2 linked regions of the Oryctolagus cuniculus genome follow. The protein of the gene in region 1 binds, or shares a complex with, the protein of each later gene. Links are inferred from orthologs where the notes say so. Each region holds a gene or a part of one and is shown on either strand. Other genes may lie near its edges.

Region 1 (7,011 bases):
GAGGGCGGGAGGTTTCAAGAGGTACAGTGGCCAAAGCCCGAGTGCCCAAAACCTCACCCAAAGTGACCTGGACAAGTGCCAGTCCAACAAAAGCACTAGTCAGCCCAGGGTGTTTTCACAGCTGGACAGTGTTTGGGGATAGCATGGGTCGAAAGAGGGGACACAGAGGTGGCAGCCTCTGCGGTAGCATTATGCAATTGCAAGGAGCCTTGGGCAGGCAGATGGCTTTAATCGAATGGGTCAAGTGTCTTTCTAAAGAATGAGATTTGTCCTGTAGAGAAATGCCCTCAGAAGCAAACTCCTATTGCTAAGAAGGCCACTGAACACTATTCTTTGTTTAAGCTGGGAGCTTGGCTGCTTTTTGGCCTGAAGCCTTTCCTGCCTTGACCCTCACTGGGTATTTGCTCAATTCAACCCAAGGGGGTTCTGATTCCAGGGCCTCCATGAACTATACAGGGATCTGGAAGAAGATATCAGACAGCCTTTTGCCAAAGTTTCCCTCACCAACAGCCTTGTGAGTTAGAGAGCTTAATTGCCACCCATCAAAGAGGCCAGTAAACTACTTCCTGAGGGCTGAACCACCCTCACACGACACACAAAAATCTTAGCAACAAGTACACTTTTTCTTGTATAGGATCCATAACTTTCATAAGCTTCTCAAAGGAATCTATGATCCAAAAAATGTGTACACCACTGTTTTCCAAGAGCCTGTGGAAATGAGTTATCATTTAAATGTTGTTAAACAAGAAAGAAGTCTAATTAGGCTAAGGTTAGAGTCTTGACCCTTCCTATTTACAAAAAAAAAAAAAAAAAAAAAAGAGAGAGAGAGACTAAGACTCATGTGGATTTGTTCCCTCTAAGTGCCCTCCTTCAAGAAATAAGGTCAGATTAAGGTCAGATGAAAGAGGATAGCAATATAGTAGGGGCTGGCACTATGACTTAGCGGGTAAAGCTGCTTCCTGCAACACCAGCATCCCATATGGGCACCAGTTGGAGTCCCAGAAGCTCCACTTCTCATCCAGCTCCCTGCGAATGTGCCTGGGAAATCAACAGAAGATGGCCCAAATCCTTGGGCCCCTATACCCATGTGGGAGACCCAGAAGAAACTCATGGCTCCTGGCTTCAGATCGGCGCAGCTCCAGCCATTGCAGCCATTTGGGGAGTGAACCAGCAGATGGAAGATATCTTTCTCTCTCTCTCCTTCTCTTTGTAAACTCTGCCTTTCAAATAAATGAATAAATCTGGAAGGAAGGAAGGAAGGAAGGAAGGAAGGAAGGAAGGAAGGAAGGAAGGAAGGAAGAGAAAGTGAGCAAGACTAAAATGTGTAGGTCCAAAAGTTCCCAAGGCTGCTTGGGATCCAGCGAGAGAGTATGGTCAGGGACCAGAGGAAGCAGGCACTCTGGGAGAGAAGGGATGGCAGGTGAGTTATGCACAGATCTGGGTACCACAATTCAGAGGGAAATGGGTAAACTGAGAAGGATCCAGAAATCCTGCTACATGGGACACTGCGTGGGTTGGAACAGGAAAAATGGAGAGAAAGTTTATAGCAATGTCTTCAAATATGTTCAACTTGTTACACAACTAAGATTTTAGAATGTTGTGCCTTTATATGTGGCAGAGATCAAGGAAAAGCTGGGCGAAGGACTAATGGTACAGGAGAGCAAACCCAAAGAGAACTGCCTGCTCAAGGCAGAGCTGGGTCCACAATCCTGGCTCTGAGAGCCTTCCCAGCACTGTTTCTATTTCCCTCGGTTTTCCATTGCCTCCTGAGCGGGGGCGGGGCAGTGTGCTAGAACCAATGAGTTGTCATTTCAAGAATGCATGGCTGCGCAGTGAGACACTGCCTAGGCAGGCGAGGATTTCTGAGGGAGGGTGTATTAGTCCCCTACCACTACTGTGCCAAACCACCACAGATGCGGTTGCTTACCGTGCTCACAACAGCACGGGCCTGGAGTCAGAAGTCTAAAATGGGTCATCAGGTAATTTTCTTTGTGGAGGCCCTAAAGGAGAATCCATTTCCCTGCCCTTCCAGCTTCTAGAAGCTTCTTGAGTCACGCCCCCTTCCTCCATCTTTCATTTCAGCAGCACAGCACCTTCCATCTGCGACTCTGCTTCCATCCTCACATCTCCGATTCTGACGTCTGCTGAGGACTCTGTGCTTATGCTGGGCCTGCCTGGATAATCCAACATAGTCTCCTGTCTCAAGGCTCCTAACTCGAATGGGGACCAGCCAGGTCCCTTTCACCACATAATGTAATATATCCACAGGGTCTGAAGACTGAGAGGTGGACATTCTTTGGGCCTGTTAGTCAACCTACCACAGAATATATCAGGAAGTGTTTACCGATGCACTGGTTTCAGAGATCTGAGTTCAAAATCTGACTTCAGCACCCACAAGGTACATGATCATTACCTTCGTTGAGACTTTGTTCCTTCATTCATAAAATAGAAATGCAATCCCAAAGTTGTCACAAGGATTTTCATTCATGGATATGAAATGTGTAACACACAGTACACCCAGGAAATGCAGCCCTATTAATTCAAAGAACTGCCAGATGAGGAGTCTCAGCAGCAAAGAACTCAGTGGAAGAGACCCTACTACCAAAGGAGAGAGTTGATCAAGTGACCTCCAAACTCCCTTCCGAGCTGAAAATGGGAGTAACATTTTCCTCCATGTTATTAGCAGGACCTCTTACCATCTTGATGGAGCCAATCACAAGGTAATCACTTTTTGGATAATCAACAGTTATCAGGCTCTGCCCTTTGCCCTCTACAGCCCTGGTATCTGATTTGTCTGCTGAGATTTGATCAGGGCAAAAAGCCTGGCCTGGTGTGCAATGATTGGCTGCACCAGGCAGCTGAGACCAGCGCACACTCCCTCCTTCACATCTGTCAACATACCTGGCTGCGAACAAGTTGCTGCCTGTGACCACTGGCTGCAGCGGCCAGAGAGCAGGAAAGAGATAGAAGGGAACAGCTCATTTTCATGCTTGGGGAAAAGCTGGAGCCTGTGTGGTTGCTTCCTCCCCACATCCGAAACTCTTCAGAGAGGATTGGGAGAACTGTGGACCATCCCTGTTGAATCAGGAAGGAAAGAAGGAAGAATCTGAAATACAAAGCAGCAATCAAGGTAAGGGATCAGGCTGGCCACTGGACCTTCTCTCCAGATTGCAAACAAGCTCCTTAGCTAGCCCTGTAACTACAGTGTCTCTGCCGGCCGTCTCCTTCAGGAGATGTGGTAGATGGGAGTTGGGGCGGGTGTTCACAGAATTCAATCATCTGACCATCAGCGAATTCTGGAAACTAGGTTGAATTTTCCTTCCTCGTTCTTGCTCCTCTAAAAATTGCTGTTGTTGCTCTTCTATGTATTTTGAAAATTCTGTAGGTTTATTCTCTTTCATGGTTTGAAAGCATACATGTGGCTTATTGGAATTTTTCCACTTTGGGTAGCTTTATAAACATGTCTTCATTCTAGAATTTTGCTTGCATGAGTTCTTCTTGCTTTCAAGATATAGCAGAGAGGACAGTGTACAGACAAGTCTGAGAAACACGCTGTCTATTCAGGCGCTGTCAATCTCAAATAATGGGATTTCCCAGGGAGCCATTGGCCTGCTTGCTTTGGTACCAAAGGAGTTAAAAGTCCTGAAATTACTGGAGCAGAATCAAGCCTATTTACCCAGGCTTATCAGACCAGGCAGCCAGGTCAATCATTTACCGGGGCAGGGCTCTTTCCTACCTTTGACAGAAGACCACCAGCTGATCCCCTCCACAGAATACACATGGCAACATCAAAGCAACATTCTCTGAGGCTTTACCCCATATTCTCCTCTGATCAAGTTAGTTTGTATCCTAACCCGAGGAGTAAACCCCACAAGGTCCCTCCCAGTTCAGCAAGACTCATGCACAAACCTGAGACTTCATATCACTAGGATAAAACATTGTGGCTTTAGAGAGCACTTTGCCTGTCAGTGGAGGTCTATATGGAAGAAAGTGGTCTAACTAAGGATCAAGTTATTAAGGGATTCTGATGGAGAATAAGGCTATGGAGTAATTATCAAAAAAGTGAAGTCTTTCTCTTCAGGCCTACACATTTTGTAAATATGTTATTTGAACCAAACATGGCCTCCTCTTCTTTAGGTCTGAAGGTAACTTCTTTAATTGCAGAAACATTGTCATATTGTCATCATGTATACCTGCCAAGCGTGTGCTATAGCTCTTGGATCTTATAGTTGTTAGTGATAGGGAGGCCCTTTTTTCCTGAAGTCCCTTGGGGTAAGGGATTGAATCACATATTAGACAAGGTCATGTTTGATTGTTGTCAATCATTTATGGAACTTAAGTGAATCCCTTCAGGTAAGGTCTCTAGCTGGAATTTTTAGTGGCTGAGGTAGTTAACCAGATGCAGGAGCTGAGGTCACTGCAGACACATTGCAACTTGTGTGATTTGGGACAAGTCTGTGGCAACCTTGCAGGAATGTTATGGACAATTACGAAATGCTGTGCAGATATTAAGTCCTGCAGAATATTAACTGTGTGTCTGGCTGGAAACTGGAATATGCTGTACATCATGCAAGTGCTGGAGGTGGTTTTGAAGGGAGCACAGAGCCTTGGGGCATTCAAGACATAGGCCAAATTTACTTACTATGCTTTAGGCTGCCTTAGGGACTCGCACACACAACTGCACTCTCCTTCCTGTGCAGCCTGGCTCAAAGCCAAAACCACAAAGGAAAACCCTGCGGTTCTATCCAGCTCTTCTTCCCATTTCGTATACATTGTAAATTAGATAGGAAGAGACTATCCCTGAGATGGACTTGATTAAATGGGCATTGTTATTCTCTTTAAATGCTGGAAAGTTAGAACACAGACATTAATTAATTTGCCCCGATTCATGCAGTTACTCCAAGGCTGACCCCTGGTTCTATTCATTTCTGCCTTGTTGCCAACCCATTGCTTCATGAGGCAATGGAGTTGAACACATGGAGACGCTAAAGGTCAACGGGATAAGGAAGTCTCACTAATAGAGTTAGAAGTTCTCCACTGGCCTCTGGATGTGCCAGGCCTAAGGCCAGGTGAGTGCCACTGTCACCAAAAGACCACCGTTTGACTGGAGTGGACCTGATTCTAGGGGACTTAAAAGCACAAACTGGCAGGAAGTAAAGGGACGTGTTTGTAATGGTGACTATCTCTGGACTCGTGTCAGTCCTGGATATTTCCCAGTAAACCTAGTGAATTCTCAAGCTAGATCCTGGGCCCTGTGTTTTCTCTAGACTCAAATTCATGAGCCCCAACTAAAATACCGCACCTGAACCGGATCCAGAGAAAGAATGGACTCCATCCCTACCCTCCCCTGAGAACTCAAGAATTTCATTATTAGATGTCCACTCATCCATATCCCAGTTGGGCGAAAGGAGGCTTAAAGCAAGAGGAACCATCAGCAGTCCATCATTTCAAGGCTCCCAGCTATTGCAATTCAAAGAGACCCAGGTTGGCTTGGAATCCAAATAGCTTGATGATGTCATTTAAGCTGTAAATGAGTAAACTACAGCAGCAAGTCTTCCTCCCCCTCTTCCTCCCAGGTTCACTTCTTTCAAATGCATCCTAAAATGTCCATGGATTGTCTGGCAGAACTTCCAAACAGACACAATGCCCAAGCCTTTACATAATCAAGATTAAGAAACACCACTGTGACGGGTGGTTGGCTAAACACCCTTGCATGAGGGCTTTCCTTTTTTTTATGGACTTGCCTCATGCATACTTCAAGAGTGTGAGGCATTGCAAAGAGGGACTGCATCACCACGTCCACCAGGCCCCATCCAGGCAGGGGACCCCATTTGAACTGTACGCACAGCCTATCATCTGTGTTAATTAAGACGCTGAGAGAAAAACAAAGTTGACTCTAAAACACAAGGGCTCCTACCAACATTTCACCTTTACCCAATGCCTGTTATGCCTAACAAATCAGCTGCTGACTTTTTGTCTGCATGTTTTGCATGTATTTCCAAGACAACTTGCCAGGAATGAAGGAGCTACTAAGATCAGGTGGAGTTTAGCAGGAGTCTACTTGATCCTAAAGCCCAACTCCCTATACTCACTCCACAGTGCCTACATTGTTTGCACTGTACAAAAGGAGGGGACGTCCTTTCCAAATTGTTGCTTGAATTCTCAAAGTACATATTTATTCTCGCTTCCTTCCCCCAAGAAATGTTCTTGACTCTGTACAGCCATAAAATTCAGTATCACAGTGATTTACCTGCCCTGCGGGAAAGTAACACAACACACACACACAGACACACACATACACACACACGCACATTCGTATACTATAAACACACACATTGCCCCTGAGTCAGCATTTTGATCCCTTTCTGAAGCTGTGGAGAAAATTGGTCTTATTACCTTGCTCACAAACATTGGTTTCTTTGGTTCATTGATTTTAACATAATGCAAAATAAAATTTTTCCATTATTATAATAAGATTTTTGAAAGTTAATTGCTGCCATGAAATTTCAGCCTTTGAGAAAGCTAAATTTTTCAAAACTTTCCAGTATGTCAATGGTTTTATTTAATCTTCATCATAACACTGTAAGTTGAGTACCATTTTCAGGTGGTACCGTGTCAGATAAGGAACCTGAGGCTCATTACAAGTGGGCCTCCCTCTCAAACCTCAGGCAGCTAATGAGTTCTGTAAATATTGAGCACTAAATGCTTTGATCTTCTTTTCTCATTTACAAGCAGTTCTCTGAATTTCTTTTTTTATAAAGATTTATTTTATTCATTTGAAAGGCAGGGTCAGAGAGAGAGAGAGAGAGATCATTCTTCCCCACTGGTTCACTCCCCACGTGGCCACAAGGACCAGGGCTGGACCAAATAAAGGACCCCAAAACTCCGTTTGGGTCTCCCCCATGGGTCCCAGGGCCATGTTTCGTTATTTTTCTAGGTGTGTAATCAGGGACCTGGATTGGAAGTGGAATAGCCAGGACTCAAACCAGCATTCATATGGGATGCCAGCAT
Region 2 (7,007 bases), on another chromosome or scaffold:
CTCTACTCCTTTTTTAATTTTTTTTTTTGACAGGCAGAGTGGACAGTGAGAGAGAGAGACAGAGAGAAAGGTCTTCCTTTGCCGTTGGTTCACTCTCCAATGGCGCACCGTGCTGATCCGATGGCAGGAGCCAGGTACTTATCCTGGTCTCCCATGGGGTGCAGGGCCCAAGCACTTGGGCCATCCTCCACTGCACTCCCTGGCCACAGCAGAGAGCTGGCCTGGAAGAGGGGCAACCGGGACAGAATCCGGTGCCGCGACCGGGACTAGAACCCGGTGTGCCGGCGCCGCAAGGTGGAGGATTAGCCTAGTGAGCCGCGACGCCGGCTCTTTGTTTAATTTTTTAAAAATTTATTTGACAGAGAGAGAGGTCTTCCTTCCCTTGGTTCACCCCAAAATGGCCGCTGTGGCCAGCACTGCGCTGATCGGAAGCCAGGAGCCAGGTGCTTCCTCCTGTTCTCCCATGCGGGTGCAGGGACCCAAGCACTTGGGCCATCCTCCACTGCACTCCTGGGCCACAGCAGAGAGCTGGACTGGAAGAGGAGCAACTGGGACTAAAACCCGGCGCCCATATGGGATGCCAGTGCTACAGGCAGAGGATTAACCATGTGAGCCACTGCGATGGCCCCAGCCAACTCCACTCTTTAACAGTGCTTCTTCAATGTAGCATCTTTCAGATACTTTGTGGCTTTTTGGGCATTTGTACCCTTGTCAATTTCATAAATGTTCTTAAAGTGAACATGAAGATTTGAACCTCTTTTTTTTTTTTTTTTGTAAGATTTATTTATTATATTGAGAGGTAGCGCGACAGAGAGAGGGAGAGTCAGAGAGAAAGGGCTTCCATCTGCTGGTTCACTCCCTAAATGGCCACATCCGCCAGAGCTGGGGTGATCCAAATTCCTTCCCAGGTCTTGCACATGGGTGCAGGGGCCCAAGCACTTGCGCCATCTTCCACTGCTTTCCCAGGCCATAGCAGATAGCTGGATTGGAAGCAGAGCCAAACCCGCACCCATATGGGATACCGGCACTGCAAGCGGGGGCTTTACCAGCTACGGCACAGCGACGGCCCCATGGATCCGCACACTTTAGAGATAGGCTGGATCCCAGCTGCCACTCAAATCCCACTTGGTCCTTCAGTAGTTCCCAGAAGTATACAGTGGTTCTTCCAAGGATACACAAGGGACAGGGGCAGAATGGACTGACTGCCAGTCTACATTTATTTTACCTCACCACACTGCTGGGGGCGGAGAGTGGGGGTGGGTAGGTAACAGGATGGCATATCGGGAGTCAGATGAGAAAGGTTTTGAAAAATAGTCAAAGAACGATGGCTTTTCCTGGGTAAGAGGCTGGATGCTCAAGAAATGGAATACGTTAGGATGCTCGGCTGGTAGCCATCTACAAATGGCAGTGCTACGTAGGGAGTACAGAGGTGATCGCCGCAGGCCCGGGAATCAGAATCTTCCCAATGCACAGTGATCCTGAAGGGAACAATTAGAGGGAGCTTGGGGAGGATGGGCAGGATGGGCAGGATTTGGTGAATGGATGTGCACACTGGGAAGAGATAGGAAAACACTAGTGGGACTATGAGGAAGCCAGAGACTGGTTAATTATGGCAGTGGGAGGTATGTGTAAAAAGATGACTCTCAACGCCTTTCATCTTAAGGGTATTTTAAATAATTTTAATATACGCTGGAAGGCTGGGAGTAAGTGTGATTCACACCCCTCTTTCTTTTCTTGGCTTAGAGATAGCTTATCTACATCTTTAAATTAATGGCTGCAGCCGACAAAGGAGAACCCAGAAAACTGGGTTGCTTGAAATACCAGTTGCCCAGCAGGTTCGCCTCGCTGCCGTGTTTGGCACCGGCAGGGGCCGAGTGTGGACATGACTCCCGCCCACGCAGTCACCACAGGAACACGTCGCACACCGGCGAAGGGTCCTGCGAGGCCTGCCTCGCGCCTCTGGGAGCAGAGCACTACCTCCCACGGCCACGTTTGGCAAAAGCTAACGGTGCACTAAGGGCGCCCACTGCAGCCCGGCATCCGAGGACAGCCCCAGCGCCACTCCCCGCAGCGGCCGCGGTCCCTGGGTTCGGGTAGCGGGCCCCGGGAGGGAGGGGGCGGGGCGGGGCGGCGCGCAGGTTCGGGAGAGACACGATTCCTCTCTCCGGGCCTCGGCGGTCCACTTCCTACGGCAAGCACGAGGAGACAATCGCCGCCTCTCCTCGCGCCCACCTACAGCCTCGCGCCTGAGCCTGCCTGGGCTCTCCCCTCCCGAGGCCTCAGGGGCGCGAGAGTGTGTACGTGGGTCCGCCCCGCGGCCCCCCGGCTCTGCCCCGTATCACCCAACTTCTCGGCCGCTACCCCGTCGCGCCCTAGGAGGCGTCCGGGGGCTCAAGGGCCGCAGATTCGAAGTCCCAGGAGGGTGAGCGAGGGACAGTGAGGTCCCCGGGCTGGGAGCTGGAGGAGGAGCTCGCGGCGGCCGGGGCCGGGGGCGGGGCTAGGTGTCTCGCGCAGGGGGCGGGGCGCGGTGACGTCCGGGCGCCCGGGCCGTGCTGTGGCGGTGGCGGTGGCGGCGGCGGCGGTGGCGGCGGCGGTGGGGTAGTGGCGGCGGCGGCGGCGGCGGCGGCGGCGGCGGCGGCAGCGGCAGTAACAGCGGCAGCGGCAGCCCTGAGGAGGGTGAGACGACAGCGGCGGCTGCAGCGACGACTCGGAAGTCGGGTGGGACCTCCAGCTTCCCGCCTGCTGTTGGCGCTGAGGCTTTTGCCTTTTCTGACCCGGCTTCTTGCTCCCGGCCCTGACTGGGCAGGGCAGAGCGCCCCCGGGGAGGGGCGGAGCTGTAGGTGAGGCTTCAGGACCCCCTCCCCCTCTTCTCGCGACCGGGGGGGATGGGGAAGTCCGGGGAGGGGCGGACCCCACCCCAGCGCACCCCAGCGCACCCCAGCCCACCGGCGGGCTCCACCCCGCGCACTCCGGGTTGGGCGGGAGCTGAGGCAGTAGCGGTGGGGAGCCCCGGGCTGGAGGTGGGAGGCAGGGGCTCTGGGCGATTGCGGGGCGGGAGGTGGGAGGGAGGTTGGTGAGGCGTGATTGTGCTGGGGGCTCGGGGGGAGTTGGGAACCTTGGGGAGCCTTGAGGTTGAGGTGCGGTCACGGTGCTTCTTGGATGTTGGGGACTGATGTAAAAATGTTGAGCTCCCCCCCCCCCCCTTTTCCCGGTGAAATGGTGAGGTAGAAGACGGGTTCTGTTTCAAAAGAAAGCTGAACTATAGGTGATGCCTTTGAGGCGGCTGGAGAAGCTGTTGCAGCAGATCTCACATTTCTACTTTAGGATTTTGGTTCCTTTTCTTTTTCTTCTCCTGGGTTGGGTGGGTGGGGAGGGGTCCGGGGAGGGAAGAGAATTCCTTTGCTTTAGTTCGTGATGAGTAAATCGTGAGCATGGCTGGATCAGAAGTTTTATACCGAAGAAGAGGAAGATCTTGGGTTTAGACAACTTCGTTGTGGCAGCAACCATTAGGGAACAGGTCTCATTACACTCAGCTCCGTGAGGTGTTGTCTTCCAGTTTTTTCCCCCCTGTGCCTGTTGGATCTCTTTATGCCACTTTTTAAGGTACAGGCGTTTCCGGGCCCCTTAAGAGAAGGCCTGAGTCTCAGGTGGTTGTTTTGGAAGACACGTTTCTGAGTAATACTTGCAGGTGGTTGTGGTTGACTGCTTTGGGTGGATAAAATGAACAATTTGAACAGTTCTTTTGGAGCTAATTATATGAGAAATGCTTAAATGTTTTAAGGCACAGTTGTCTTTTATGGCTTGTTTTTCAGTAGACCTTGACATTTAGACGTTTTGTGTTCAGTTATTGAAGTTGTTTTTATTTCTCAATTGCAGTTGTATTTATTGCAACCTTTATTAAACACTCTAGAAATGGAAGGGCATAGGGGCAGGCTTTGTCACTCGAGGTTAACAGCCACCCCCTGGGAGCTGGCATCTTATATTGGAGTGCCTACTTGGAGTCCAAGTTACTCCAAGCTTTCCATCCAGCTTCCTGCTAATGTGCCTGGGAGGAAGTATGGGAGACTTTAGCCTGGCCCAGCTCTGGCTGTTACAGGTATCTGGGGAGCGAACCAGTGGGATCAAAGATAACTTTCTTTGTCATTCTGCATTTCAAATAAATAAATAAAACTTAACAAGAAATGGAAGATATGTATGTACATATATATGTTTATAGGTAGGCCCTCAATTTCTTAGACATGTTTTTGGAAGTCAAGTGCTTTTAAAATACTGTAATAATGTTATGTCTTACTTTGTAGAGTGATGTTATTAAGGGTAAACAGTGTTCAGTTTTAAGTCAGTGTTTCACAACTTGGTACAGTAAATCAGACTCTTGGATTCCTGCTCCCTATTAGATTACAGCCTTAACTATCTATCTATTGGTTATTGTCATTTAAGCTAATTCTTGTTTAGAAAATAGGTCCTATGTTGGACATGTATTATGAAATGGATGAAAATAGGCATGATTCTTAATAATTCATTTCTGAAGGAAAAGAAAGCGTCATGAGATAGAAATTAGTGACTTTCCTAAGGCTTAACCAGTTTATTTGGAAATACAGCCAGAGATGTGCTTTCCTGTATCCCAAGAAAGAAATACACAGATGTAAGTTTTAGGAGTTGCCGATCATTGCCTTTTTGACATGCCTAATGAGCAGGCGGTTATCTTCTAGCAAATGCTTCTGCTTTTAAGAGACTTACTGGCAACAGAATATAATAGAGTATGGTCCAATTTATAGTTACAAATAAAATATTTAATGAACTATATTAGATTGGTTTTTGGGTTGGTGCAAAGAATAATTTTGATTTTGGGTTAGTTAGAAGGAAAACTTAAAAGTCACATATCCCTTTCTCTCTGTCTCTCTCACTGTCTATAACTCTACCTGTCAAAATAAAATAAATAAATAAAAAAGAAATCAATCTCAAAAAAAAAGTCACATATCTAGTTTTGGCTTTGAATGGTACTGTGATTTAATCAATCAGAACATTGTGAAGTAGGGTGCAAGCAGTGGCTTATGCCTCTGTGCCACAGCACTGGCCCCACCAGGTGAAACTTTTGGTGTATGTACTCCTAAATTAATATGTGCATGGCTGACTGAGATGCAGTTCTTCTTGTAGGACTTAAATCATAGAGCTTAAGAGAAAGTCCAGAGTAGCAGTAATCTCTCCTATTTAGAATTTCTTGTTATACATTTTAAAGTTTTGAAAATGTTGCTTGTTACTCATTACTTGGTGATACCCTTGTTGAATCTAATAAGCTATCCTGTATTTTCTTTATAACTAAAGTCATAGGTAAGTATGCCAGTCTGTTAATTCAACATTAACACTGGAAACTTAAAAATGAAGGTTCTCACCCCAACAGCTGCTCTGTTTTATGCTTTGTTTATGCTTGTAGATATAGTATGAGAGCTGATAAAAGTGTGTTTTCCTGAGCTGGACACTTGGCTTGGTAAGATGTTGATTAGGATGCCTGCATCCCATGTTCCAGCCTCATACCCATCATCTTAGATTTCTGTTTTCCTGCTGATGTGGATCCTGGGAGACAGCAGGTGATGACTCAGATAGTCAAATAAATACTCAAATAGTGTAACTCATGTGGGAGCCCTAGATTGAGCTCTCAGCAACTGGGGAGCCAGCAGCAGGCGGAAGCCCTCTCTGTCTCTTAGAAAAATTAAGGAAAAAAGTGTTTTACATGCATTATAACAGAAACACTGATGGAAAAGATCAGAGATTGAAATATTTCCATTTCATTTCATTCATCAGTACATTGATTATAAGTTTTCAGGGAAATAGGTAATAAAATAAGTTTATGGAATATAATTCTATGGCTCTTCAGATCTTTGAGTCTGTGTTGTGGGATCAGAGTGCCCCAGTTACAATCCTCGCTTTGTCATCATATGACTTAGGGTAAACTGCCTAACCTTTGTTTGTTTCTTTTTTTAAGATTTATTTATTTGGAAGTCAGAGTTACAGAGAGAGAGAGAGAGAAAGAGAGAGAGTGAGCGAGCAAGTGTGTGAGAGATCTTCTATCTGCTGGTTCACTCTCCAAATGGCCACATTGACCAGGCTGGGCCAGGCCAAGGCCAGGATCCTGGAGCTTCATCTGAATCTCTCACGTGAGTGCAGGGCCCCAAACACTTGGGCCATTTTCCACTGCCTTTCCCAGGCCATTAGCAGGGAGCTGGATTGAAAGTGGAGCAGCTGGGACATGAACTGGCTCCCATATGGGATGCTGGCATCATAGGCTTTACCTGCTTTGCTGCAATGCCCAGCCCCTAACCTTAGTTTCTTAACCTTAACTCCTTCATCTGCAAAATGGGAGTAATTAATGATTGTACTTAATCTTTTAAGATGGTTAAATGAATTAGTTTATGTATGTAGAATGGTTTTGCCATATAGCCAATCCAGTAATATCTATTGCTATTACTATGTACTATTTACTCTCACTTAAAAAAAAAAAAATATATATATATATATAGAGAGAGAGAGAGAGAGAGAGCATGTATTATAACTCAGGTATTGCAGATGCTGGCAATAAAGCAGTGAACAAGGCAGACAAAAATTTATGTCTTTATGGAGCTTTTATGCTATTTGAAGAGATAAATAAGTAAATAAGTAAATAAATTACTACAAGGTATATTGGACATTGACATAGAGATACATGAGAAAAGAGAGGAGGATAGGGAATATGGGGATGGGAATATAGGGGACTAATAGATCATTGCATAGCCTCTGAATTTTCTTTTTTAAAGATTTGTGTATTTATTTGAAAGAGTTACAAACTGAAGGAGAGACAGAGAGAGGGAAAGATCTTCCATCTGCTGGTTCACTCCCCACAGTGGCCAGATATCTGTAACAGCCAGGGCTGGGCCAGACTGGAGCCAGAAACTTCTTTCAGGTCTCCCATGTGGGTGGCAGGGGTCTATAAACAGTTGGACCATCTTCCACGGCCATTAACAGGGAGCTGGATT

Evidence for each region.
Region 2: PHLDB2 (region 1) and ERC1 share a complex: the UniProt entries of both Homo sapiens proteins name them as parts of the cortical microtubule stabilization complex. The link is inferred for Oryctolagus cuniculus from reciprocal best matches to the Homo sapiens genes PHLDB2 and ERC1.

What each region holds. Positions count from the first base shown.
Region 1 is NC_091435.1:67,776,040-67,783,050, forward strand, and holds the start of PHLDB2 (pleckstrin homology-like domain family B member 2), read left to right. Parts: upstream 1-2,993; 5' UTR 2,994-3,130; intron 3,131-7,011. UniProt on the Homo sapiens protein: Seems to be involved in the assembly of the postsynaptic apparatus. May play a role in acetyl-choline receptor (AChR) aggregation in the postsynaptic membrane.
Region 2 is NC_091440.1:98,806,127-98,813,133, forward strand, and holds the start of ERC1 (ELKS/Rab6-interacting/CAST family member 1), read left to right. Parts: upstream 1-2,536; 5' UTR 2,537-2,840; intron 2,841-7,007. UniProt on the Homo sapiens protein: Regulatory subunit of the IKK complex. Probably recruits IkappaBalpha/NFKBIA to the complex. May be involved in the organization of the cytomatrix at the nerve terminals active zone (CAZ) which regulates neurotransmitter release.